7 linked regions of the Xenopus tropicalis genome follow. The main gene of each other region encodes a partner of the protein of the gene in region 4 in a complex. Links are inferred from orthologs where the notes say so. Each region holds a gene or a part of one and is shown on either strand. Other genes may lie near its edges. The genes, in order: taf1b, polr1b, polr2h, taf1c, taf1a, tbp and taf1d.

What was found.
Region 1: taf1c (region 4) and taf1b share a complex: the UniProt entries of both Homo sapiens proteins name them as parts of the transcription factor SL1/TIF-IB complex. The link is inferred for Xenopus tropicalis from reciprocal best matches to the Homo sapiens genes TAF1C and TAF1B.
Region 2: taf1c (region 4) and polr1b share a complex: the UniProt entries of both Homo sapiens proteins name them as parts of the pol I pre-initiation complex. The link is inferred for Xenopus tropicalis from reciprocal best matches to the Homo sapiens genes TAF1C and POLR1B.
Region 3: taf1c (region 4) and polr2h share a complex: the UniProt entries of both Homo sapiens proteins name them as parts of the pol I pre-initiation complex. The link is inferred for Xenopus tropicalis from reciprocal best matches to the Homo sapiens genes TAF1C and POLR2H.
Region 5: taf1c (region 4) and taf1a share a complex: the UniProt entries of both Homo sapiens proteins name them as parts of the transcription factor SL1/TIF-IB complex. The link is inferred for Xenopus tropicalis from reciprocal best matches to the Homo sapiens genes TAF1C and TAF1A.
Region 6: taf1c (region 4) and tbp share a complex: the UniProt entries of both Homo sapiens proteins name them as parts of the transcription factor SL1/TIF-IB complex. The link is inferred for Xenopus tropicalis from reciprocal best matches to the Homo sapiens genes TAF1C and TBP.
Region 7: taf1c (region 4) and taf1d share a complex: the UniProt entries of both Homo sapiens proteins name them as parts of the transcription factor SL1/TIF-IB complex. The link is inferred for Xenopus tropicalis from reciprocal best matches to the Homo sapiens genes TAF1C and TAF1D.

The regions. Positions count from the first base shown.
Region 1 is NC_030681.2:138,048,867-138,052,366, reverse strand, and holds part of taf1b (TATA box-binding protein-associated factor RNA polymerase I subunit B), read right to left. Parts: intron 1,941-3,500; coding exon 1,870-1,940; intron 729-1,869; coding exon 503-728; intron 1-502. UniProt on the Homo sapiens protein: Component of RNA polymerase I core factor complex that acts as a GTF2B/TFIIB-like factor and plays a key role in multiple steps during transcription initiation such as pre-initiation complex (PIC) assembly and postpolymerase recruitment events in polymerase I (Pol I) transcription.
Region 2 is NC_030681.2:38,728,151-38,732,136, forward strand, and holds the start of polr1b (DNA-directed RNA polymerase I subunit RPA2), read left to right. Parts: upstream 1-1,186; 5' UTR 1,187-1,292; coding exon 1,293-1,469; intron 1,470-3,986. UniProt on the Homo sapiens protein: Catalytic core component of RNA polymerase I (Pol I), a DNA-dependent RNA polymerase which synthesizes ribosomal RNA precursors using the four ribonucleoside triphosphates as substrates.
Region 3 is NC_030681.2:99,527,616-99,531,901, forward strand, and holds the start of polr2h (DNA-directed RNA polymerases I, II, and III subunit RPABC3), read right to left. Parts: upstream 2,801-4,286; 5' UTR 2,788-2,800; intron 2,416-2,787; 5' UTR 2,407-2,415; coding exon 2,334-2,406; intron 2,241-2,333; coding exon 2,157-2,240; intron 1,520-2,156; coding exon 1,426-1,519; intron 1,316-1,425; coding exon 1,232-1,315; intron 124-1,231; coding exon 6-123; 3' UTR 1-5. UniProt on the Homo sapiens protein: DNA-dependent RNA polymerase catalyzes the transcription of DNA into RNA using the four ribonucleoside triphosphates as substrates.
Region 4 is NC_030677.2:215,221,027-215,224,526, reverse strand, and holds part of taf1c (TATA box-binding protein-associated factor RNA polymerase I subunit C), read right to left. Parts: coding exon 3,420-3,500; intron 3,233-3,419; coding exon 3,104-3,232; intron 1-3,103. UniProt on the Homo sapiens protein: Component of the transcription factor SL1/TIF-IB complex, which is involved in the assembly of the PIC (pre-initiation complex) during RNA polymerase I-dependent transcription.
Region 5 is NC_030681.2:9,693,682-9,696,304, reverse strand, and holds part of taf1a (TATA box-binding protein-associated factor RNA polymerase I subunit A), read right to left. Parts: intron 2,117-2,623; coding exon 1,993-2,116; intron 1,843-1,992; coding exon 1,688-1,842; intron 286-1,687; coding exon 119-285; 3' UTR 1-118. UniProt on the Homo sapiens protein: Component of the transcription factor SL1/TIF-IB complex, which is involved in the assembly of the PIC (pre-initiation complex) during RNA polymerase I-dependent transcription.
Region 6 is NC_030681.2:50,706,278-50,710,480, reverse strand, and holds the start of tbp (TATA-box-binding protein), read right to left. Parts: upstream 2,801-4,203; 5' UTR 2,710-2,800; coding exon 2,659-2,709; intron 2,034-2,658; coding exon 1,714-2,033; intron 557-1,713; coding exon 469-556; intron 1-468. UniProt on the Homo sapiens protein: The TFIID basal transcription factor complex plays a major role in the initiation of RNA polymerase II (Pol II)-dependent transcription.
Region 7 is NC_030678.2:100,292,372-100,296,594, forward strand, and holds the start of taf1d (TATA box-binding protein-associated factor RNA polymerase I subunit D), read right to left. Parts: upstream 2,801-4,223; 5' UTR 2,661-2,800; coding exon 2,488-2,660; intron 1-2,487. UniProt on the Homo sapiens protein: Component of the transcription factor SL1/TIF-IB complex, which is involved in the assembly of the PIC (preinitiation complex) during RNA polymerase I-dependent transcription.

The sequences.
Region 1 (3,500 bases), on a different chromosome or scaffold from region 4:
CTGAACTAGAAAAATACCCTGATGATTCCCAACAAGCAACCTACAAGCTCTATCTTAAGATCTCCACCTGTTATTTACCTACAAACCAAATCTAAAGATCTATAGCCGCCCCCGACTGTGTATGAGCTACAGATCCAACCTGCTATAATTTACTTCCAAACGTAACACCTTCACACCTTCCAAACCCAGCCCCAGAATCTGGCAAAAATCTACAAAACTAAGCTGAACATTTCCAGTTGAAGACCAAATGCCACGACAGTATATACAGAAGCCACTGACCTGAAGCCGTTATTGAACAATGGATTCAATCTAAAGGTCACACTGTTTATAAACTAAAGGAATTCACCACCACAAAATGTATTGTTTTCAAATAGTAGACCACAAATTTGACTTTTTTCATCGGTTTCATTGCTATTCTATGTTGAGCTGCTCTGCCTATCATACTGACATGGAAGAGCTGGTTAAGGTGCAAATGATTCCTTAAAGACTAAGAAAATCTTACCTGGTTTTACATTTCCTCAGTGAGTTCAACCAATAATGTGTGTTTATTGGTGTAGGTGGTTTCTTGCCTTGGTGCAGAACGGCCTGCAGGCTGTGTCCATGAAAAGAAATCGTGTCTGTGTTTTGCTCTTCCCATTTAAACAAGAAACTTGATGGGCCTTGCTTGCCGGTGTTAGGTGCAGCTCCCGCCAGCTTGCTAAACTGCCTCTGCAGGTTCTCTGACATCTCTGTGCGGAGAGAAACAAAAGGCATCATTCATACAAGTGCGCACTGAGCTGGTAATTACAGGTAACTGTCACCTGTCCGCAGCTAAATTCTGTTATCTTTATGTAACGGCGGCAATTCATTATCGTCTTTAGATGTGAAAATCACACTGTAAAACAATGGGACTCTAACACCGGTGATTAAATTCATATTAGTCATCAAAACAACACATAATAAATAATAAGTACCTCTTTCTTTTATCTTTTATTAAGATAATGTTAAAGGAACAGCAACATCAAAACCATAAACGTGTTTTGAAGTAATTAAAATATAATGTACCGTTGCCCTGCACTGGTAAAACTGATCTGTTTGCTTCAGAAACACTACAATTGTGTATATAAATAAACTGCTGTGTATCAATGGGGGCAATTGAAATAGGGCTAAACTACAATAACTACTTAGTTGTTATAAATCTTTATGCTTTTAGCTTAAGAAGGCTGAAGGTAAAAAAGAATGGGCCACAACTGTGCGTGAAGAAAAAACCAACCGCCATGACAATAAAGAAAACTATAATGATTAATGTTGTGCATAATTAAATGGATGCTTTACCTGAAATTAATTTACTATGATTTGGACAATGGTATCCTATTTGAAATTGGTCTTATTTGTATTTATGTATTTATTTGTATTTCAACTTTATATTCTGTGGCTCTCCAGCTTGGAATTTTAAAAGCCATATGGTTCTAGGGTCCCATTTACCACAGCAAACGGGCAGAGGCATGGAAATCAGAATAGAAGCTGGATATGAAAATACCTCTATAAAAAGAGAAGGAATAAAAAGCAACAATACAAGTGTATTCATAGAGCATCAGTTTCATGGCTACCAGGGTCGGTGACCCCACCAACCAGTAAGAAGCCACCTCAAAGTTCCACACAGTGCAATATAGGCACCCAAAAGCCTGATCCTACGGCGGCAGCTGTAGGTGGAAAGCCCCTGGATGCCTGTATATAAAATAAAAACATACTTGTGGCTAAATCGAGTGAAAGAGCTTGCTAAAGAGCTACCATGAGAAAGGTCACTGGCTGTGCACTAGGTAAACAGAACACATGCACACACACATATATATATAATACAGTATACAAAAATAAAACAGGTATACTCACGTTTCCTCTTCTGAAGCAAAGATTTAGTAGTTTGGGAGTAATACAATGGACAATCACTTTTCCACATGAACCTGATGTTAAAAAGCAGAAAACAAATCAGCATGCATAAAAAAAAACATTTTATTTTGTTAGGTCTCCTACCGGGACAATGTAACAAATACTGTACTCCTATGTACTGCCTCTGCGGCCCATATACAGTATACTGCCAGGTTAGGTTGTTTGACAAAGCGTATCAATAAAATAATTACTATTTTAATAACCAGACACTCTCTTTATAATGCCCGTGTTGGCCACAGCAAGAGCACCTAATCTGCGTAGTTGCAATGGGCACGATTCCTCTTGGCAACGTGCTCCTACCAAGTACTAATAGTGGCATCTCATAGCCACAGTATTGTCTGTGCCATTCATGACTGCTATTTGCAGTAGCCTTGTAGCAGGAGCCCAGAAGCAGCTTTTAGTTCTGCAGAGCAGAAAGGGAAATTGTTTTCCTTTTTACTCTTCCTCTACTATAATTTTGAATATATTGAATTTGGTTCATTTTGGGGGACAAAACCCCCATGATAGGAGCGCATAGGTATGGGACCTATAATCCAAAATGCTTGGGACCTGGGGTTTCCCGGATAAGGGGTTATTCCGTAATTTGGATCAACATACAATTTAAGCATTAATTAAACCCAATAGGACTGTTTCCCCTTCAATAAGGATGAATGATATCTTAGTTGGGATCAAGTACAGGTACTGTTTTATTATTACAGAGAAAAGGGAATCATTTAACCATGAAATAAACCCAATAGGGCTGTTCTGCCCCCAATAAGGGGTAATTATATCTTAGTTGGGATCAAGTACAGGTACTGTTTTATTATTACAGAGAAAAGGGAATCATTTAACCATTAAATAAACCCAATAGGACTGTTCTGCCCCCAATAAGGGGTAATTATATCTGAGTTGGGATCAAGTACAGGTACTGTTTTATTATTACAGAGAAAAGGGAATCATTTAACCATTAAATAAACCCAATAGGGCTGTTCTGCCCCCAATAAGGGGTAATTATATCTGAGTTGGGATCAAGTACAGGTACTGTTTTATTATTACAGAGAAAAGGGAATCATTTAACCATTAAATAAACCCAATAGGACTGTTCTGCCCCCAATAAGGGGTAATTATATCTTAGTTGGGATCAAGTACAGGTACTGTTTTATTATTACAGAGAAAAAGGAATAATTTAACCATGAAATAAACCCAATAGGGCTGTTCTGCCCCCAATAAGGAGTAATTATATCTTAGTTGGGATCAAGTACAGGTACTGTTTTATTATTACAGAGAAAAGGGAATCATTTATCCATGAAATAAACCCAATAGGGCTGTTCTGCCCCCAATAAGGGGTAATTATATCTTAGTTGGGATCAAGTACAAGGTACTGTTTTATTATTACAGAGAAAAAGGAAATCTTTTTAAAAAATTAGACTTATTTGCTTATAATGGGGTCTATGGGAGATGGCCTTTCCCTAATTCGAAACTTTCTGGATAACGGATCACATAACTGTATAATCCATCTGAGGGTTAAAACAAAACATGCCAGAATACTGTAGATTTCCAGGAGATAGCCATATTACTGACAGCTAATTAAGCTA
Region 2 (3,986 bases), on a different chromosome or scaffold from region 4:
TAGAAATCCTCACAAAAGGGGTGGGGCGTGCACCTATAAATTAGAGAGCTGAAAGAGGAAGCTGGCAGTGTAAGGTCAAGGCCGCCGCTCCCTATAAGCAGAGTACTCAGTCTGCATAGGGCACCAACTCCCAGGGGGGCACCATCCCAGCTGCTCCAAAAAAAACAAACCATTTTTATATATTATAACATACCCCCCAACACTGTCCCGCTGGTTTTTATAGCGCATCCCGCTGTCCCGGATAGTTCAATCAATCTATGGGGGCTATTGGGGGCACTGTGTGTGGGGCCCCTATAGTAGGTGTTTTTTTTTTATTTTATTTTTACTTCCGTAATATTTGGGGGAGGGGGCACAAAAGTACATTTCTGCTTAGGGCACCCATTTGGCCAGCAGCGGCCCTGTGTAAGGTTGTGGGCATGGAGGGTGACCGGACGCACCCAACCCGCAAATGATGTGCCGAAGTCATCCCAAACCCACCCGACCCACACATCACTACTATGCAGGATATCGATTCTATATGTGGCCAGTATTAAATAGGGTGAGGAGGCAACTCAACTGGGTTTGGTGACCAAACATTGATTTGTTTCTTATTTAAAATAGGCAAAAAGAATGTTCAGCTCATGCCCTATTCACTGAACTCATATTGCAATGCACCCCTAGACTATAACAAGTCAGACTGTGTATATAGAGGGACAACTAGCTTGTAGCCTGTAGTTTTTGCTGAATAAACCCTGCCAGATAGCTACTGATGGGAGGGTGCTGGTAGTTGTAGTGCATTAGCTTTATCTGCATGTTATGAAGAGCTTCATAAATAAAAAAAATTATATTATACCCCACCTCCCCATTCTATATGCAAGTTACTTGAACTACTGTCTACCCCCCTCCACTCCCCTTTAGAAAGTTTCCTGTGGGAACGACCAATACAGGCACATTAAGTGAAGGCGATATAGCTGAACATAGCCATTTAAAAGGGAAAGTTAACACTGCCAGAATGAATTGATTTTAACCTGACGCTGTGGACATTGGGTAGCAGTGCATACAGAATAGAACCATACGTGCTTGTGTACATACACCAAGGGGCTTCTAAGAGCGACTGCTGCTCAGCTTCCAATCCAACCCGGCAAGAGTCCAGGCACCAGCAGAACAGCTGTGACATGTCCCGGAAGTGCGTCCCAAGTAGGAAGTAGGCTGCAGCGCTACACGTGTGGCTAGTCCCGCCCCTTCCCCTGCACATGGGCTGCTTGCCTGGCGCTCAGGATTCTCAGGGCTAACTGACTGCCACTTACTGCAGGATGGAAACGGACACTAAGTGGCAAGCGCTGCTCAGGGAGCCTAGCCTGGGCAAACTTACCAGTCCCGACTATGGGATTCCCGGGGAGAGCCAGCACCCTCCTCTGCAGGATATCACTCGGGCTCATATCGACTCCTTCAACCAAGCAATGACAGAGGGGCTGAGTCTGGCGGTGCAGGTGAGGGAAGTTGGGGTCTAGGAAGGGGTGGTATAGCTGCTGATGTGGGTCTGTATAGTAGAGATGTCTGAGATCAAAAAGCAGATACACATGTGAGCACTCCCTGGGACTCTGCACTGCCCTGCCATTGATCTCTCTCCTGAACCTCCCCTTAGTATTGTTATAGTATCAATATGCACTAATGTACATATACAGCACAAGCCTTTCTCAGAATAACACAACCCTGTTAAACCACTAGTAAAGGAAGCATTGATGATATCATAGTAACATAGTAAGTTAACTTGAAAAAAGACATACGTCCATTACGTTCAACCATAATGCCTATATATAACCTGCCTAACTGCTAGTAGATCCAGAGGAAGGCAAAAAACCCCATCTGAAGCTTCTCTAAATTGCCTCAGAGGGGAAGAAATCCTTCCTGACTCCAAGATGGCAATCGGACCAGTCCCTGGATCAACCTGTACTAAGACCTATCTCCCATAACCCTGTATTCCCTCACTTGTACTGAGAGCTATCCCCCCAAACCCCTGTATTCCCTCACTTGTACTGAGAGCTATCTCCCATAACCCTGTATTCCCTCACTTGTACTGAGAGCTATCTCCCATAACCCTGTATTCCCTCACTTGTACTGAGAGCTATCTCCCATAACCCTGTATTCCCTCACTTGTACTGAGAGCTATCTCCCATAACCCTGTATTCCCTCACTTGTACTGAGAGCTATCTCCCATAACCCTGTATTCCCTCACTTGTACTGAGAGCTATCTCCCCTACCCCTGTATTCCCTCACTTGTACTGAGAGCTATCCCCCCTACCCCTGTATTCCCTCACTTGTACTGAGAGCTAAGACCTATCTCCCAATAACCCTGTATTCCCTCACTTGTACTGAGAGCTATCTCCCATACCCCTGTATTCCCTCACTTGTACTGAGAGCTAAGACCTATCTCCCAATAACCCTGTATTCCCTCACTTGTACTGAGAGCTAAGACCTATCTCCCATAACCCTGTATTCTCTCACTTGTACTGAGAGCTATCTCCCATAACCCTGTATTCTCTCATTTGCTAAGAAGCCATCCAGCCCCTTTTTGAAGCTATCTAATGTATCAGCCAGCACAACTGATACAGGGAGGGAATTTCACAGCTCTCACAGTAAAAAATCCTTTCCGAATATTTAAATGGAACCTCCCTTCTTCTAAACGGAGTGGGTGCCCTCGTGTCCGTTGGAAGGACCTACTGGTAAATAAAGCATCAGAGAGGTTATTATACGATCCCCTTATATATTTATACATAGTTATCATGTCACCCCTTAAGCGCCTCTTCTCCAGTGTAAACAGACCCAACTTGGCCAGTCTTTCTTCATATCAGTGACATAATTTCTATGAGACACAGTATGTGATGTAAAAACTATAATAAATAAGTCCCTATGTATGTATAATATAGCGCAAAGTTCAATTCCAATTTATGATGTGTATTTTCACAACAATGATACAAATACACCTGTGACCATTCACAAACAACTGCAGTGTTGAAGATTTTCTAGAGAATTTATGCCACAAAGAAATGAGGTATGTGAAATGTTAGCATGGAGGAGGTGACGTAGGTAATGAGATGCAAAAGTTGATGCTCTCTCCTTGATAAATTGGCAAATAGTCACTGGAAAAATTTCACCTGGTAAAATAATGTGAATAGAATATTCCCCAAATTGAAATTGAGTGAAATTAATTTACCAAAATGTGGTGTACTCTCCTGATTTAATAAATTGACGATGTTGTGGCTTATTTTCACGTTGGCTGAAAATAGTCAAAATTGTAAATTTCACACTGCAGTTAATATGCCCTATAGAGAAAAAGAAACTAGAACTATATATTTACTAACCAAAGCACCAGTTTTATGCTCTAAGTCAGTGCTTGCCAATTATTTCCATATAGTGGGCCAGATATTTACTTTTAGCATATTTGTTGGCCGCATTGAGATGTTATCCAAAGATGCCAGTTGGGTTTTCTTGGAGGGCCACATCTTGTCTGTGGGCGTTCAGTTGGCGGCCCTGCTCTAACTAGTTCCTGGTCAGTCAGTAGCCATACCCATAACCCACACCTGGGCTGAGATTCACAGTCTGCCGTGCTATTACTGAGGCCCAAACAGCCTTCGACAGGCCCAATAGTATGAGTTAGTTGCAGGATACTGCAGCGTCTCTGGTTTTGCTGAAACACTGAAAGTGGCAGTCCAGGCCTGACATAGCCCATAGCACATAGGCCTGGCTTTCAGACTTTTATAGTTTTAAGACAGTGATGCAGATTTGGTCAGGCTTCCTTTAGAGCATAATTTTAGAGATATAACTTTTAAAGGAGTTTTTCACCTTTGAATTTATTTTTGATATGATGTCAACATTGATAATCTAAGGGGCACATTTATCAAAGTACAATTGTCTCCTACTTATTTTTTCTAAGTTTTTGAACTGTACGTATTTTCATCGATTTCTTCCCGTACTGTGCGTCATAATTTACGCAACAATATTGTATT
Region 3 (4,286 bases), on a different chromosome or scaffold from region 4:
CAGCATTAGAAAGCCAGCTTCTTCATCAAGAGGTAAACACGAGAATCCACTTCAAATCCATGCAGATTGTTAGCATCTCCCTGAAGCCTCATTAGAAGTCCTCCATATGATACATATGCAGACCTAGAGGAAACATGAGCACGTTATGGAACACAGAGAATATTGGAAAGTAGAGGCAACTTGTGTGAAAGAGTAAGGGCACAAGTGAAACATAAGTCCCTTTCAAGTTTACAGAAAAATAAACCCTATTAGTATTGCTTGCTTTCATCCACCATAAATGGTGCTGCTTATTCTGCACAATTCAATTTGGTGTCTATTAAAAAGTGAGAGATGTCAGAGAATTCCCTAATAAATCACCTTCTACTGATTAAACTGTAAATCTGAAACATGCACCCTTATCTTTAAATTCCATCCCACTATATTGTAGACTTTGGGGTATATTTATTATGCTGTGTAAAAAGTGGAGTGAAGCATTACTAGTGATGTTGCTCAGGGCAGCCAATCAGCAATTAGATTTCAACAGTTCAACCAAAGCAAAGCATCTGATTTTGCTGCTATGAGCAACATCACTGGTACTGTTTTACTCCACTTTTTTACACAGCATGATAAATATAACCCTTACTGTGGAGTTCTAGGCTTGCCATATCCATAGATTCCAATAGGAGTAATCCTCTTATTGGATGTGGTCTACAGTTCAGCTTATTGGCATGGTGGAGCCTGGCAATAATTGTTAAAGGAAAAGTAACACTAAAAATTTTTAATTAAAAAATGTATTCTACCCTGCCCCAATAATTGCCCTATCCTGCACACCATTTATTATTTTGAATGCTTTATTAGAAAATACCTGCTAAATCTTGGCTTCCGGTCATTTGAAAGAGGGTGATACAGCGATGCAGGGCAGAATCCACTATGCGACGATCAATCCTCGCATAGTGGATTCTCCCCCCCTAAATTTTAACCCTTTCTGGATGCTAATTAGAATATACAAATTTATGCTAATTATGATTCGGTTCGGCTGGGACAGTGGATTTAGCCGAAACCGAATCCATCAAAAAAAGGCAGGATTTGGGGCGAATCCCGAACCGAATCTGGGATTTGGTGCATCCCTAATAATTTCTGTGTGTTGCCTTTCTGGCCCAGGTGCAAAAACCTTCTTGTCTTTTCATACAAAGAGCACATGCAGGTTTAAGATGAAGAAGCAAGTAACTGGGTAGATGATTTGGATTCTTACAGGCGGGTAGCGGCTTCTGTGGAAGTTTCATCACCCTCTATCCGATAGACCTTGCCGTACATGATGTATTCAAACTGGTCAGCTCTAAAAGAAGAAATGCAATGCATGAGTCACGTGCCTCACAAAGACTATAATTTGGAAACCAACAGGATGAACCATATGTTCCTTTTTATTTATCTGCAGTAATATGATACCTTGAGGGTCGGTCATCAGTAGGATTGTACTCTCCGTCATCCAATGTACCATCCTCATAGAGCGTACTGGCAATAACCAAGCGGAATTTATCCCCTGTGGAAGAAGAGTAAGAGGACACACAATTTAACAACTGTTGTGCAGTTAATCTTCATAAAACACTGGTAATGTGGTAGAATTTAAATACATCTTTGCATTTATGCACCGTGTTTAGTCAATGCAGTGCCAGCCATGCCATCATTTTTTTTTAGAATGGAACCCATAAAGCAGATCTATAGAACCCGCACCATAGATTTTACAAGCTACTTCAGGTATGTGCTACTTACACAACTAGAGGATCAACTCCTATTCACCCTAAAAATCCTCCAGCTTCTGATACCACCCCAACAGCACACTGCACCAAGATATGCATTAACCATAATAAAGTTTGTTTCTGGTCTTACAACTGGCAAGACCCAGAATCAGACAGACTAAATAAACTGTATTTGCAAATGATAGTTGCTAAGGGTTCACCGACACTTGCAGAGTGTTACTTAACAGGTAACAAAAGGCTGAAAACTGTCAGATAAGTCAATTTTGTTTTTGACATTTTAGACGTTGTGTTTGCAAAACATAAATCCACTGAAAATATTATTTTCATTTTATGATATTGTGTTTGTCTCTAAAGTGGACTCCTATTTCAAAAATGACTGCTATAATCATGTCAATGTACAGACAACAAATCCCAACTTACCCAAGTCCACAGGATAAACCTGTATATTAACATCAAGGATCAAATCCATCTTAAAAGACTCACTTTCACAATGTAACCTTGACACTAGAAGAAAAGTCACAACATTAGCAATGTAAAGAAAATAAATGGACCTTTCATGTTTGGAGCAGACATGTTTGGCTTTGCTATGCTGCTTACCTCGATCAAATTTTCTTCCTTCTGGATCAATATCCTTTACATCAAAGATGTCTTCAAACAAAATGCCAGCCATGGCAGATAGCTAGAAAGGTAGACTCTTATTAATATCTGTGCAGGGATATTTTGTTTTCTATAACTGAATGAGATTTCTAATGGTCAGACTGTTTTCCTTAATAATTTGGAGATACGTAAAGATATCCTGACACTATTAAGTTTCTACATTCTTATTGCTTTGAAATTTTGACGCTGATTTTTTTTTTATGTTTCCACGTGCTGTTCTGCATGATTTTGCCGTCACATCCTTCAATTTGGAAAGAACACATAGGAACCCTAGCTTCCGCCCTCCCTTCCCAAATCAATGACAGAAGGGGGAGGGCGGCAATCCAAGTATGTGCATACTGCCCGAAAGTCCCGCTTTTCCTTACAAAACCCGCAGTCCCGTATCACTACTTACTCTTCCCGCAAAGCCTGCCGGCTTCTAGTCTCGTTTACAGAAAATCCCGACGTCAAAGTCTCATCACGCGAGACTGGCGTCACGACTACACGTAACGCAATGACGCATTACGCAGCCGCCTGGGAGTAACGAGCCTACGTAATCGCGTCACACAGTAGGCAGCTGCTAGAAAGTCAGCTTCCAGTTCTACTCCTACTTCTGTTAGAAAAGAGAAAAAGACTATTTTTCATGTCAGTTGCCTTCTGCCACCTCAGCTCCAAATATTTCCTTAGCAGTCATTCATATAGGGAAGGAAGATTTTTTTTTTCCTGGTTGCCACCAGCAAAGTAAAGCCCAGTGAAATTTTAGTAATTTTAGTTTTTTTTGCAGTTATTGATTATTATGTTGGTTATAGTAACAATCAAATGCACAGATCTGCGTTTTACAGACACAATTGTAAAACCATTAGGGTAACAGTTCAGTGTAAAAAATGAAACTGGGTAAAATAGACTGCACAAAATAAATATTCTCAATATTGTTAAGCGAAAATGTAATCTATAAAGGCTGGGGTGAGCAGGTGTCTAGCATAATAGCCGTTAGGGCAGTGGCACACGGAGATTAGTCGCCCATGATAAATCTTCACCATTGCGGGCGACTAATCTCTGAAATGCCTTTCCATCAGCAAGAATGTAAATTGCCTGTGGGATGGTATACACATCGCTTTTGGTCGCACAAGGAACTGTTCAGTTAGTTTGCTTTTGCTCACAAACGAAGGGTCACATTTACTAATCCACGAACGTCCGAATGCGTTTCATTCGTAATGATCGGTATTTTGCGATTTTTTCGGAAATTGACGCAACTTTTTTGTAGCCATTATGACTTGCTCGTAAATTGTCGCAACTTTTTCGTAGCCGTTACGACATGCTCGTAAATTGTCGAGACTTTTTCGTAGCCATTACGACTTGCTCGTAAATTGTCGAGACTTTTTCGTAGCCATTACGACTTGCTCGTAAATTGACGAGACTTTTTCGTAGCCATTACAACTTGCTCGTAAATTCTCGCGACTTTTTCATAGCTGTCGCGCCGAGTACGAAAGTTTCAGATTCTTTCAAGCTTCAGTATTGTGACTTTCCTTGGGCCAGGTTGGAGCTGCAGAGTGCCATTGAGTCCTATGGGAGGCTTCCAAAATCATGCAAAGTCGCAAAGGTTTGCCCGCCATTTACGAGCGCTCAATACGAAAAAGTCGCGACAATATACAAGCAAGTCATAACGGCTACGAAAAAGTCGCAACAATTTACGAGCAAGTCGTAATGGCTACGAAAAAGTTGTGACAATTTACGAGCAAGTCGTAATGGCTACAAAAAAGTTGTGACAATTTCCGAGCAAGTCGTAATGGCTACGAAAAAGTCGCGACAATTTACGAAACAGTCGTGACGGCGACGAAAAAATCGCAAAATGTTCGTTTCCAATCCGATTTTTTCCCATTCGGGATTCGGATTCGTGGATTAGTAAATCAGCCC
Region 4 (3,500 bases):
AGTAATGGGGCAGCAGTGCGGGTATGGGGTACTGATACCTGGGTAGTAATGAGGCAGTGTGGGGTACTAATACCTGGGTAGTAATGGGCAGTGTGGGTATGGGGTACTGATACCTGGGTAATAATGAGGCAGTGTGGGTATGGGGTACTGATACCTGGGTAATAATGAGGCAGTGTGGGTATGGGGGTACTGATACCTGGGTAGTAATGGGGCAGTATGGGGTACGGATACCTGGGTAGTAATGGGGCAGTGTGGGTATGGGGTACGGATACCTGGGTAGTAATGGGGCAGTGCGGGGTACGGATACCTGGGTAGTAATGGGGCAGTGTGGGTATGGGGTACTGATACCTGGGTAGTAATGGGGCAGTGTGGGGTACTGATACCTGGGTAGTAATGGGCAGTGTGGGGTACTGATACCTGGGTAGTAATGAGGCAGTGTGGGTATGGGGTACTGATACCTGGGGTAGTAATGAGGCAGTGTGGGGTACTGATACCTGGGTAGTAATGAGGCAGTGTGGGTACTGATACCTGGGTAGTAATGAGGCAGTGTGGGGTACTGATACCTGGGTAGTAATGAGGCAGTGTGGGGTACTGATACCTGGGTAGTAATGAGCAGTGTGGGGGTACTGATACCTGGGTAGTAATGAGGCAGTGTGGGGTACTGATACCTGGGTAGTAATGGGGCAGTGTGGGGTACTGATACCTGGGTAGTAATGGGGCAGTGTGGGGTACTGATACCTGGGTAGTAATGGGGCAGTGTGGGGTACTGATACCTGGGGTAGTAATGGGGCAGTGTGGGTATGGGGTACTGATACCTGGGTAGTAATGAGGCAGTGTGGGGGTACTGATACCTGGGTAGTAATGGGCAGTGTGGGGTACTGATACCTGGGTAGTAATGGGGCAGTGTGGGGTACGGATACCTGGGTAGTAATGGGGCAGTGCGGGGTACGGATACCTGGGTAGTAATGGGGCAGTGCGGGGTACGGATACCTGGGTAGTAATGGGGCAGTGCGGGGTACGGATACCTGGGTAGTAATGGGGCAGTGCGGGGTACTGATACCTGGGTAGTAATGGGGCAGTGCGGGTATGGGGTACTGATACCTGGGTAGTAATGGGGCAGTGTGGGGTACTGATACCTGGGTAGTAATGGGGCAGTGTGGGGTACTGATACCTGGGTAGTAATGGGGGCAGTGCGGGGTACTGATACCTGGGTAGTAATGGGGCAGTGCGGGTATGGGGTACTGATACCTGGGTAGTAATGGGGCAGTGTGGGGTACTGATACCTGGGTAGTAATGGGGCAGTGCGGGGTACTGATACCTGGGTAGTAATGGGGCAGTGCGGGTATGGGGTACTGATACCTGGGTAGTAATGGGGCAGTGTGGGGTACTGATACCTGGGTAGTAATGGGGCAGCAGTGTGGGTATGGGGTACTGATACCTGGGTAGTAATGAGGCAGTGTGGGGTACTAATACCTGGGTAGTAATGGGGCAGTGTGGGTATGGGGTACTGATACCTGGGTAATAATGAGGCAGTGTGGGTATGGGGTACTGATACCTGGGTAATAATGAGGCAGTGTGGGTATGGGGTACGGATACCTGGGTAGTAATGGGGCAGTATGGGGTACGGATACCTGGGTAGTAATGGGGCAGTGTGGGTATGGGGTACGGATACCTGGGTAGTAATGGGGCAGTGCGGGGTACGGATACCTGGGTAGTAATGGGGCAGTGTGGGTATGGGGTACTGATACCTGGGTAGTAATGGGGCAGTGTGGGGTACTGATACCTGGGTAGTAATGGGGCAGTGTGGGGTACTGATACCTGGGTAGTAATGAGGCAGTGTGGGGTACTGATACCTGGGTAGTAATGAGGCAGTGTGGGGTACTGATACCTGGGTAGTAATGAGGCAGTGTGGGGTACTGATACCTGGGTAGTAATGAGGCAGTGTGGGGTACTGATACCTGGGTAGTAATGAGGCAGTGTGGGGTACTGATAGCTGGGTAGTAATGAGGCAGTGTGGGGTACTGATACCTGGGTAGTAATGGGGCAGTGTGGGGTACTGATACCTGGGTAGTAATGGGGCAGTGTGGGGTACTGATACCTGGGTAGTAATGGGCAGTGTGGGTATGGGGTACTGATACCTGGGTAGTAATGGGGCAGTGTGGGGTACTGATACCTGGGTAGTAATGGGGCAGTGTGGGGTACTGATACCTGGGTAGTAATGAGGCAGTGTGGGGTACTGATACCTGGGTAGTAATGGGGCAGTGTGGGGTACTGATACCTGGGTAGTAATGGGGCAGTGTGGGGTACTGATACCTGGGTAGTAATGGGGCAGTGTGGGTATGGGGTACTGATACCTGGGGTAGTAATGAGGCAGTGTGGGGTACTGATACCTGGGTAGTAATGAGGCAGTGTGGGGTACTGATACCTGGGTAGTAATGGGGCAGTGTGGGGTACTGATACCTGGGTAGTAATGAGGCAGTGTGGGGTACTGATACCTGGGTAGTAATGGGGCAGTGTGGGGTACTGATACCTGGGTAGTAATGGGGCAGTGTGGGGTACTGATACCTGGGTAGTAATGGGGCAGTGTGGGGTACTGATACCTGGGTAGTAATGGGGCAGTGTGGGTATGGGGTACTGATACCTGGGTAGTAATGGGGCAGTGTGGGGTACTGATACCTGGGTAGTAATGGGGCAGTGTGGGGTACTGATACCTGGGTAGTAATGGGGCAGTGTGGGTATGGGGTACTGATACCTGGGTAGTAATGGGGCAGTGTGGGTATGGGGTACTGATACCTGGGTAGTAATGGGGCAGTGTGGGGTACTAATACCTGGGTAGTAATGGGGCAGTGTGGGTATGGGGTACTGATACCTGGGTAGTAATGAGGCAGTGTGGGTATAGGGTACTGATACCTGGGTAGTAATGGGGCAGTATGGGGTACTGATACCTGGGTAGTAATGGGGCAGTGTGAGTATGGGGTACTGATACCTGGGTAGTAATGGGGCAGTGCGGGGTACGGATACCTGGGTAGTAATGGGGCAGTGTGGGTATGGGGTACTGATACCTGGGTAGTAATGGGGCAGTGTGGGTATGGGGTACCGATACCTGGGTAGTAATGAGGCAGTGGGCTGGGTTCTCCCCTCTCAGGCACTGGGGTAAAATGACTCTCTCTCCTCTCTGACACGAAGCTTCTTGTCCAATATGGAAAAGGTCCAACCCCTGAGAATTAGGGGCCTGAGAGCGAGAGAAATAGAGATTAAATAGAGCAAATTTGGCCCCAGGGGGTAAGAACCTTTCATACAGCGAATCTGCCCCAGCCCATTGGCACCATTAAGAGTTTGCCTCTCACACTGACCACTTTAGGTGCCAGATGGGGGGGTATATTTGAGGCTTTGGTGGGGAAGGAAAGATACCCTCATACCCTCATGTCCACACACTGAACTCCTGTCCTGTCTGCGTAGCTCAGCACCCGCGGGTGGGAGGTGTAGTCGCTCCATCTCCA
Region 5 (2,623 bases), on a different chromosome or scaffold from region 4:
ACAATCGATCATTTTCTCTCTGCAGCATGAAATAAGCACATACAGTTTAGAATGGCTGAAATACCCTGCAGGCAGGAAACCAAATTCCTCCACATGAGCGCTTCCAAATGCTCTTCCACTAAGAAGCAGCTGTAGTTTTTCGGCACGTAAAGAACACAATCTGGCGCTGGGTCCGTCGTTCCACTAAGGAACAGCTGTGATTCTTCAGAAACGTCTTCATGGCTCTCACCTTTTTCATCTTGGTTTTTCTACCGAGGCGACAAACAGCTTTATAATAGGCGCAGCCTGTAATCAACACAAAGCGGTTTCTTTAATGGATAACCCCCTTCCTTTTAAAATTCACGTGTGTTCCTGGGAAATCCGGCGAGAAAATAACTGGCTATAAAGGCAGGGGGCAGACATATTTTTATTGACTAGTTTAAGACTTAATTAAAATAAGGAATGTGAGGGAGTTGCGCAATGCGGCTATAAACTCAATTACAGGCATTAAGGGGTTGCTCGCATGTCGTACGGTAACTTCTTTACTATCCTTTTTATGGCAAAGGGAAAATTAGGGGGCGGGGCAGAGAGGCATTGGTCATGGCTGCCGGGATCGCAGGGGCCCTTTTGGGGTAGAAATGTAGAAAGATGTTGTATACATTTGTTCTGTACTTGTGTTAGTTCTCATGCCCACACCCATGGGCACCCCAAGGGAACTGGGGGATATGGAGATTGTTCAGCAGATATTAGACATTTCAGAACAACTACAGCCCAACCTGCCCAAGCATCTCCATGCATAGCATCAGCATAGGTATTCTCCTGTACTTGGCACAATTCAGCAGGAACAGCCCCCTAAGTTTGCTCATAGCCTGTACAGAGAGATACCATAAAACTATGCAGCATAGGGAATCCCCTGTACTAAGCACAATTCAGCAGGAACAGCCCCCTAAGTTTGCTCATAGCCTGTACAGAGAGATACCATAAAACTATGGCAGCATAGGGATTCCCCTGTACTAAGCACAATTCAGCAGGAACAGCCCCCTAAGTTTGCTAATAGCCTGTACAGAGAGATACCATAAAACTATGGCAGTATAGGGATTCCCCTGTACTAAGTACAATTCAGCAGGAACAGCCCCCTAAGTTTGCTAATAGCCTGTACAGAGAGATACCATAAAACTTTGGCAGCCCAAATATAGAGGAGAGCACCATAAAGCAGAATTCTGCTAAAATGCTATTTATTTCAGACCAAAATACACAATATGTTTCGGGCAATGTGACGCCCTTTATCACTTGATAAAGGGCGTCACATTGTCTGAAACATGTTGTGTATTTTGGTCTGAAACAAATACCATTTTAGCAGAATTCTGCTTTATGGTGCTCTCCTCTATATTTGGATTGTATTGAAGGGCTTAGCGGTGTGCCTTGCGAGGATTGATGCATCAAGCCTGAGTAAGAGGCTGTGCGGTTGAATACCTATTTGTTAAAACTATGGCAGCATAGGGATTCCCCTGTACTAAGCACAATTCAGCGGGAACAGCCCCCTAAGTTTGCTCATAGCCTGTACAGAGAGATACGATAATGCTATATTAGGACAGAAAGCTAGTGTATTTTGCAGAATTAATCAGGAAAACAAAAGGTTATAGTGGCCCTAAGAGAACAAATATACTTGCCCCCAGTTAGAGAGCCAATACGAATGGTGGAGAGTTACCTGGTCCTAATAAAATCCCAGCAGCCAAGGCTTTCTTCATTGCCAGTTTCGGGATTTCCTTCCATTCTTTTTTTGCATGGAACTCAGTAAAATGGTAAAGAGGCCACCAGCTGCGTCTTGATTTCCACTGATCCTCAATCCACAAGTCCTGATTTCTGGAGAGAAAATGGGACAAACAAACAGTGGGTAAAACACCAGACTCAATTCACAAAAATAGTATATATCAAAGCTGCTGAAGGATGCTGGGTATTATCAATTTGCTTCCTTCTAACATGACACTGGGTAAAGGTGAGCAGGCCATTTACCTTTTCAGACTTGTCTTGAGCCGCTTTCCTATTTGCCGCCAAGCTTCCATACTGTACCCCCAACCGGAAAAATCCAGGAGATCAAACAGAACTTTCAGCGCGAGTTGGTGATGCTCTTCTGACTCTGAGACCAACAGAAACACATGCAATCAGTAGAAGAAAAGATTCTTTCATCCCATCATTCCTCAATGGTTAACTGAAAGATACTGTATGTAACATTACAAACTGGCCCAAGGCCCTTTCTCAGCATGTGTGGCCTGATTGGCCAATTAAGATCGGACGCAACTGCATATTCTGCCTCCAACTGTACATTAGTTGTAATTTCTAGGGGGTCCAGGCCAGTAATGGTATCCAATATGCCATGCAAGTCTTTATTCCATAGTAACCCCAGAAAAGTCAGTAAGCACACTTTATAGTAGGCCTCACTTACCAACCCCTTTGGTGCAAAGGCAAAATTGTCCCCTTTATAGCCCACGCCCAGAGCAGTTGTGCCAGTAGGATTGGCAGTTCAAGGTGAAGAGCTGTTGGGCACAAGGCACAGTACAGTACTACCGAGCCTGCAAGTCTGATTGAAATCCCTGCTGGTGGGAAACCCTGCAGTTGAATTGTTTTGCTTGTAAATTTGTAAAAA
Region 6 (4,203 bases), on a different chromosome or scaffold from region 4:
GATAACCCATCCTCATGCCACTTCTAGGCCAGCATAAAAATACTATGCCCAGTGGGTATGGCAGGACAAAATTACAAACAGGAAATCCTTTTCTCATCACACATTTACAGAATTAAGTGCCATACAATGCACCAGTGTGTTCTCCTGAATGACTTTTACAGATAGATAAGAATATTTAGGGCTGTGACAGACGAGATGATTAGTTGCGACTAATCTCCCCGAAATGCCATCCCACCGGCTAGAATGTAAATCGCAGGTGGGATGGCATACGCGGCATCTTTGAGAGGAAACTTCGGCGATGCTTATGCCATCCCACTGGCAATTTACATTCCAGCCAATGGGATAGTATTTCGAGGAGATTAGTTGCTCGCGACAAGGGAGATTTGTCACGTGGCAACTAATCTCCCCGTCTGTCACAGTGAAAGCAACTATTAGGTGAATAAGATACAACAAAGGCTTTTGTCTTACCTTAGGGTTATACTCTGCATTTCGCGCTCTAAGTGCAATTGTTTTCAGATCCAGTTTGCAGCCAAGATTTACAGTGGACACTATGTTCCTGAACAATGTAAAAGCAGTTATTACAAATCCAAATATTTTTGCTCACTGTATTTAAAGGTATTCAGTCATTAATTTTTATTGTGTACTTATATTTCTAAATTACTGTTTACATAGCAAATAATTTACCATTTAAAATTTTATTCTTAAACCAACAAAAGTAATTTTTTAGTTGTAGGCAGCCAGATCAGTGCATTGTGCCCGAGTCTGAGCTTTCAGAAGGAGCCAGAGCTACTGGACTTGAATTTTTTTTTTTTTTTTACTATTGAGTACTGTTCTGATATCTACTGGGAGCTGCTAGCTTGCTAACTTACATTGTTCTGCTGATCGCCTGCAGGGGGATGATGATATCACTCCTATCTGCAGCACAGTAGTAAAGTGTGACTGACCTTTATCAGAGCAAAAGTCACATGACTGTGGCACCCTGGGAAATGAACATGGCTAGCCCCATGGGAAATTTTTAAAAAGTATTACAAAAAAAAAATTTGCACTATTAGTACTTGTAAAAGTGCTAAACTATTTTAATTTCCCAATTCTTTACTTGTTCTATTTTTCACACATGTTGGACAGATATAGGACACATTAAAACTAGGATACTACTGTACATGCTAAATTACATATCAAGACAAGTCTTTCTCCCTCAATAAAGTTTCACTTTAAATATGACATCAATTCAGTCTCAAGAATGTGGTGTAAAAGTCTGAAATGAGGAAACCGTCTGCATCTGTTTCTAGACCTAATATATACACACACCCCTGGCCTGGTAGCTTTTAAATCTAATATGGACTCCTATATTTTTAAGAAATGTAGCTTTTTTTTTTTTTAAACAAATGTAACACTCACAGGGTAAACAAAGGTAATGCAGCACTGTTAAAATACTCATTAGTACCAAAGGTAAAACAAAGATAAGGTCTTTTAATTTTGACAGGCCACACTCAAATGTGGTATAACAAATAAAGTCATTACTGTCTAAAATTAAAATATGCCAGAATATGTTTCCATTTCCTGTATATCTAATATTTACCATTTGCAGAGTTGTATGCTCTATGGCACTACAGAAATGTACAGACAAACATAAGGATTTGTTGACAAGTGTGCAGATACAGATAATCTGACAAATGATATCTGCAAAATGTCCCCCAGGATGATGAGACTTACTGTAGCTGAGGAACAATTCCTGAACTTTCTGATGCAGGGGTAGCAGGAGTAATAGGGGTCATGGGAGTCATTGGGGAGGGGTATAAGGGTGTATTTCCTGGAAGAGGTGCTGTGGTAAGAGTCTGTGGGTGAAACAGTTGTGGGGTTTGGCCTGACCCCTGATTGCCTTGTTGTGATGTAGACTGCTGGGCCTGTTGTTGTTGTCTTTGCTGTTCTTCCAATATTGATAAACTGTTAGTTGTTTGTACAGGTTGAGGGGTCAGACCAGTTCCATAGGGCATCAACGGACTGAAAATGTTAATCCCTGGAGTCAGAGAACCCTACAGAAATAAAAGACAAAAAAAAAAAAAAAATTATAACAAATTTGCTCTCAAACCCACACACAAGTTGAATCACAAGTTAAAATGGGCTTAGTACATGGGGATTTCTTTAATGAAAATCTTATGGTATAGCCCTGCACATGGAGTAGGACAAGCTAAGGGCTCTTACACACAGGTGTTTTCACCCTGCAGTCTCCCGAATTGGATTTCTTCTCCTTTCCACCACAAGGAAGCATAGGATGAAATGCAGCTCTATATTCATTCACATGCATGAATGAGAACGGAACACATCTGTTTTGTGTTCAAGAGCCCTCAGGATGGCGTTCCTCCACCTATTACGACAAGCGCCCCAGCAAGAGAAACATTTGCATTGAAGCCAATATTGGCTGCTGACTTGCATTTCCCCCCTAAGTCAGTTGGAAGCATATTGGCCTGTGTCTCAAGTTTTTCTTCTATTTTTTCATTCTTCAGTATTGTATCTGTTGTCCAAATTAACCACACCCGGTATACCGTATACCCCCCAATTTAGAAAGTGCAAATGAAGTGAATATTACAATGCTTTTAAAGGCATTTTATTTTATGGAGGGGGAATTGTGGTAAAAGGGAAAAAAGGGTTCACACTTACCTGTGGTGATGCCAACCCCTGGAAAGGGGGTATACTGTTGTTTTGATCCATGTTGCGTTAATTGGAAATCCCACTAAGAATAAAACAAAGTGTGCTGTTCCTACAAATTAAAATAAACCATTCCAGCAGCAGACAAAAATCCTATAAAAAGAAGTTAAAAAAAAAAAAAAAAAAAAAACATTAAAACATAGCTTACATTCAGCAGTTAGCACCTGTATTGGTAAATGTGATAAGTTAACAGTAGGACAGAGGGCCATAACAACGAGCCAATGTGGTCCCCGATCCGTGTTGGGGGTGCCCATACACAGGCAGATAAGCTGCCAAATTGGTCTGAAGGAACTAAATTGGCAGCTAGAACCTGCAAGTGTATGACAACCTTATGTGACCATAGCAAGCAGTAAAGACAACACCATGAAGCTAATCTGCTATTAATCCTACTGTATAAATCAGTGACCCAACAACTAGATGACTGTTTAAAAGAACAAATAAAGTAAAAAAAAAAAAAAGATAAGATGTAGGGGATATTTATAATATTAGCAGCAGCAAATTGCTTGAAATGACAAAAAAAGGTATACTAAAATGGTGTAGTCAAATTATACACTTGCAGATGTCACAATGGGATTCCTTCAAGCAAAATTTGTAAAATGACCTGCGTGTGGTTTTAGTTTCTCCAAATCTCTTAAGGGCTCTGGCACACGGGGAGATTAGTCGCCACGACAAATCTCCCTGTTCGCGGGCGATTAATCTCCCCGAAATGCCATCCAACCGGCGAAAATGTCATTCGCTGGTGGGATGGCATACGTGGCGGCACGATTTCAGTGAAATAGCGGAAGTTTCCTCTCAAGGCAACTTCCGCGATTTCACTGAATCGCCGGTGGGATGGCATTTTGGGGAGATTAGTCTCCCGCGAACAAGGAGATTTGTCGCGGGTGACTAATCTCCCCGTGTGCCAGAGCCCTAAGAAGCTATAAAAACCATAAACGTATTCATTCAGATGTAATAATCAAGCCTTGTTATATCTAAATTCTGAGATTTTGTAGTACAATAATACAAATTTTGCTATATGTGCCCCTAAACCTTTTTCTCTGAGGAACCAATTAAACGCACAAATTAGTTTCACAACACAAGGTTGGTTTATGTACATAACTTAGTGCCTAATTTCCATTGTACTCAGTAAGATCATGCCTCAACAGTACAGGGAGCCGTAGGTTTATTGCTGAGTTTAGGCTGTAGCACTACAGAATGAGCTAGAAAATAGTAGAAACTATTAGACTAGATAAAATGGCTCCAAATCAAATTGGTCAGCTCAAGGCCAAAGAAGCAAATCTAAAATTTGCCCAGCTTTAAAGGAGAAGGAAAAGTAAAATGACTGGTAGTAGTAAATATTATTAGGCATCCTCAGGGATTCCAGCCACTTAGTTTACCTGCTTCAGCAACCCCACCCCCTTTCAGGCATAACCTGCCAGGCTTGGGCAAGGGCATGTGCACTACAGAACTCTCATATTTCTGTACCACTCATACCCACCCTAGACTGTACCATTCACA
Region 7 (4,223 bases), on a different chromosome or scaffold from region 4:
AGTTAAGCTGTTGCTGTCATTATTACCATGTTGTCTGATATGGTACTGAGGGAAAAAAGCATGGTGAGAAAAGGAAGGAAGGGGGGGGGGGGGGGTAAGAGAGAAGGGGAGATAACTTTTTCCAGAAACCAGAAGATGAAGGGGGAAAGAGAATTTTCATAATGGGGGGGGGAACAGAACTTGGAAGTGCTCAGTCGCTCAGCCGCTCCGTTGTTAACCTCATATCGTTTCCAGCAATTAACGTTAGACCTTTTCATGTATATCTGCTTTCTAGTAGTGTTCCTAGTCCAGTTTCATTCATTTATCTTTATATGATTCTAAGAACATAATCCATGGGGACCATGTCGAGACAAATTTGTCTGGTGTCCCCTGGACATTAATAAGTAGTTCCTCCATTCGCATAACATTTCCCATCTCTTTAACCCACTCACTTATTGTAGTACCTTTTTTAACATGTGCACAATAAAGTTATATGTCCCCTTCAAGGAGGATAGAATGTGGGTGTTTTGGTGCCCATGCAAAATAAGCTCTTGTATGGGTATTAAAACACCCAAAAATAGCTAATCATTGCTGATCATGGGAATTGTTGTGTGCACACCACCCCAAAATAGAGGAAGATGCATTTTGTGAATATTTAAAATGTATTTTCCAGCAATTTGATGACAGGGTTACACAATTTCATGTGAACAACAAAGTGCCCAATACGCCATCACCCTTAAACTAAGGGCCAGATTCATTAAAGTACAAATTACAAGTACGATTTGTGAAAATTTGAATTAAATACACAAATTTCTGATGTGCGTTAATTTTGCGAAAAAGTCACGTCGTGCTTGTACGAAAATATTGTGGTACGATCCGAAAGTTATGAAATGTTGGAATCCAAACGATCGTAAACGGCGGGAAAACCTTTCTGAGTTTGAACCTTCAGTGAATGATTTTGGAAGCCTCCCATAGGACTCAATGGCACTCTGCAGCTCCAACCCGGCCCAAGGAAAGCCTCCCATAGGGCTCAATGGCACTCTGCAGCTCCAACCCGGCCCAAGGAAAGCCTCCCATAGGGCTCAATGGCACTCTGCAGCTCCAACCCGGCCCAAGGAAAGCCTCCCATAGGGCTCAATGGCACTCTGCAGCTCCAACCCGGCCCAAGGAAAGCCTCCCATAGGGCTCAATGGCACTCTGCAGCTCCAACCTGGCCCAAGGAAAGTCTCCCATAGGGCTCAATGGCACTCTGCAGCTCCAACCCGGCCCAAGGAAAGCCTCCCATAGGGCTCAATGGCACTCTGCAGCTCCAACCCGGCCCAAGGAAAGTCTCCCATGGGGCTCAATGGCACTCTGCAGCTCCAACCTGGCCCACGGAAAGTCACAATAACGAAGCTTAAATTAGAGCTGGGCGGTATGACCAAAAATTTATATCACGGTATTTTTCAAAATTATATCGGTATCACGGTATTTGACGGTATATAAATAAAAAATAAATAATAAATATTGGTGGCCCCCCCACCCCCCCAACCACAACCCCCCCAACCCCAACCACCCAACCCCAGCCCCCCCAGCCACAACCCCCCCCAGCCCCCAGCCACAACCCCCACAGCCCCCCCAACCCAGCCACAACCCCCCCAACCCCAGCACCAGCACAACCCCCCAGGCCCCAGCCCCAACCCCCCCAACCCCAGCACCAGCACAACCCCAGCACCAGCCACAACCCCAGCACAGCCACAACCCCCCAACCCCAGCACCAGCCACAACCCCAGCACCAGCCACAACCCCCCCAGCCCCAGCCCCAGCCACAACCCCAGCACCAGCCACAACCCCCCCAACCCCAGCACCAGCCACAACCCCCCCAACCCCAGCACCAGCCACAACCCCCCCAACCCCAGCACCAGCCACAACCCCCCCAACCCCAGCACCAGCCACAACCCCCCCAGCCCCAGCCACAGCCACAACCCCAGCCCCACTTACCCAACTTGTGGTTCCTCCAGCGATGCGTCCTAGCGACGTCGCGTGCGCGCCGACGTCACATGCGCGCCGACGTCACGTGCGCACGGGCGCAACCCGGATGTAATTGGATAAAAACTGCAGGAGGCACGCATACCGGTATAGCGGTATGTTCAAAAATCATATCGTTTTTTTTTCAAAAACCGGTATACCGGTTAAACCGGTATACCGCCCAGCACTAGCTTAAATGAATCCGAAACTTTCGTACTTGTTGTGACAAATGCGATTTTGTTGCACAAATTGACACAAAGTACGAAAAAAGTTACTCAAAATACGCAGAAGTTGTAAACTTTAGAAAAAATACAAATTTTTGAAATCGGACCTGTCGTACTTTTAATGAATGTGCCCCTAAGTGATTACAATTGTCTTCCAATCCAAGAGTTACAAAACCCTGAAGTGACAAATTACCTGACGTGACTGTATTTTAAAATACAAATGGTCAGCTCTGTTTTCTATGTCAATAAACTTTTATTAAACTAGGTATAAACTTACCTGTCCAGCAGACGGCCATGATGACTGTTAGTTGGACTTTTGTTTGGCTTACTGGCATCCTTCGTTAATAAATTACAATCCGAATCACTAAAAAGTTCTTGGCTTTGAAGAATATCATAGCTGTGTGCATCTGGTTCACTTCCTTCCTCAAACATTGCTGCGATGGTAGCCATTAGTTCCTAGTGGCTATTCGTACCCCAGTGACATCATTGGCACGTTCCGCACGCCGTCATCTTCACGTTATACACGTGGTGTATGGGCGTATCCAAGTGACGTCCTTGTCACGTGTACACTGCATCATCGTCACGTGATGCACGTGCTGTATGTAAAGCCTATGCCGAGCCCGGGCACGTCATCGTGCGGCGTCATCGTCACGTGGTATACATGGTGTATATAAGTTCCACCTAAAGGCGCGACGGTCTTTCGTGCGTTGTCGAGACGACGGTGGGTTACTCTGTGAGTGAGAGATACAGAGCTCTGGGAAGTCTCTCGTGTTTTGTGAGTGTTGCAAATGCGACTTTTGGTGGGGTGGCCCTGGGAGGTTTGGTCGGGCAGATGTGGCTACTAGAGTGGCTCTAGGCTGTACTACTAGGTGCCCTTCTCTGCATGCCTTTTGCTCCCTGCCTGTGCCCCCTACACTGCCTGCCCTGGGAGGTTTGGTGGGGTATTGGGTGGGGCAGCCCTGAGAGGGTGAGTGGCAAATGTGGCTTTTGGTGCGGTGGCCCTGGGAGGTTTGGTAGGGCAGGTGTGACTTCTAGGCTGTATTAGGTGCCCTTCTCTGCACTCTGTTCCCTGTGTGTTCCCCTACTCAGCCTGCGCCCCCTACTGCTCCCTGTCCTACTCTGTTGTCTGCTCTCTGCCTGTGTGCCCCACTCTGCCTGCCCTCTTCTCCCTGTGTGCCACTACACTGCCTGCCCTGGGAGGTTTGGTGGGGTATTGGGTGGGGCAACCCTGAGAGGGTGAGTGCGGCAAATGTGATTTTTGGTGGGGCTGGTGTTACTACTAGGGTGACTCTAGGCTCTACTACTAGGTGGCCTTCTCTGCCTGCCCTCTTCTCCCTGCCTGTCCCCCCCTAGTCTGCCTGCCCTCTGCTCCCTGCCTGTGCCCCTGTGACTGCTAGCTGACTCTAGGCTCTACTCTGCCTGCACCCACTTACTCTGTCTGCCCTCTGCTCCCTGACTGTGCCCTCTGCCCTACTCTGCTGTCTGCTCTCTGCCTGTGCCCCCCATACTCTGCCTGCCCTGGGAGGTTGGGTGGGGCAGCCCTGAGAGGGTGAGTGTGGCAAATGGGATGTTTGTTGGGGCTGGTACTACTGCCTGTGCCCTCTGCTGTTTTCCTGTCCCCCCCTGCTCTCTGCCTGTGCCTACTAGGGTGACTCTAGGCTCTACTACTAGGTGCCCTACTGCCTGCCCTGGGGGGGTTAGTGGGGTATTGGGTGGGTCAGCCCTGATAGGGTGAGTGTGGCAAATGTGGTGATTGGTGGGACTGGTGTTACTGCTAGAGTACTACTGCCTCTTCCCCCTACTCTGCTTGCCCTCTGCTCCCTGCCTGTGCCCCCTAGTCTGTCTGCCCTCTGTTCCCTGTGTGTACCCTATGTTGCATGTCCTACATTGCCTATGGGAAGTGAGCCTGGTGAAGCTTCTTGTGTATAGTTAGAGTGCCCTAACGCAGCTGTCCCCAACATTTTTCCTCCCGGGGACCGGTGCAAAGAATGAAAGATTTTCTGCGTGCCGATG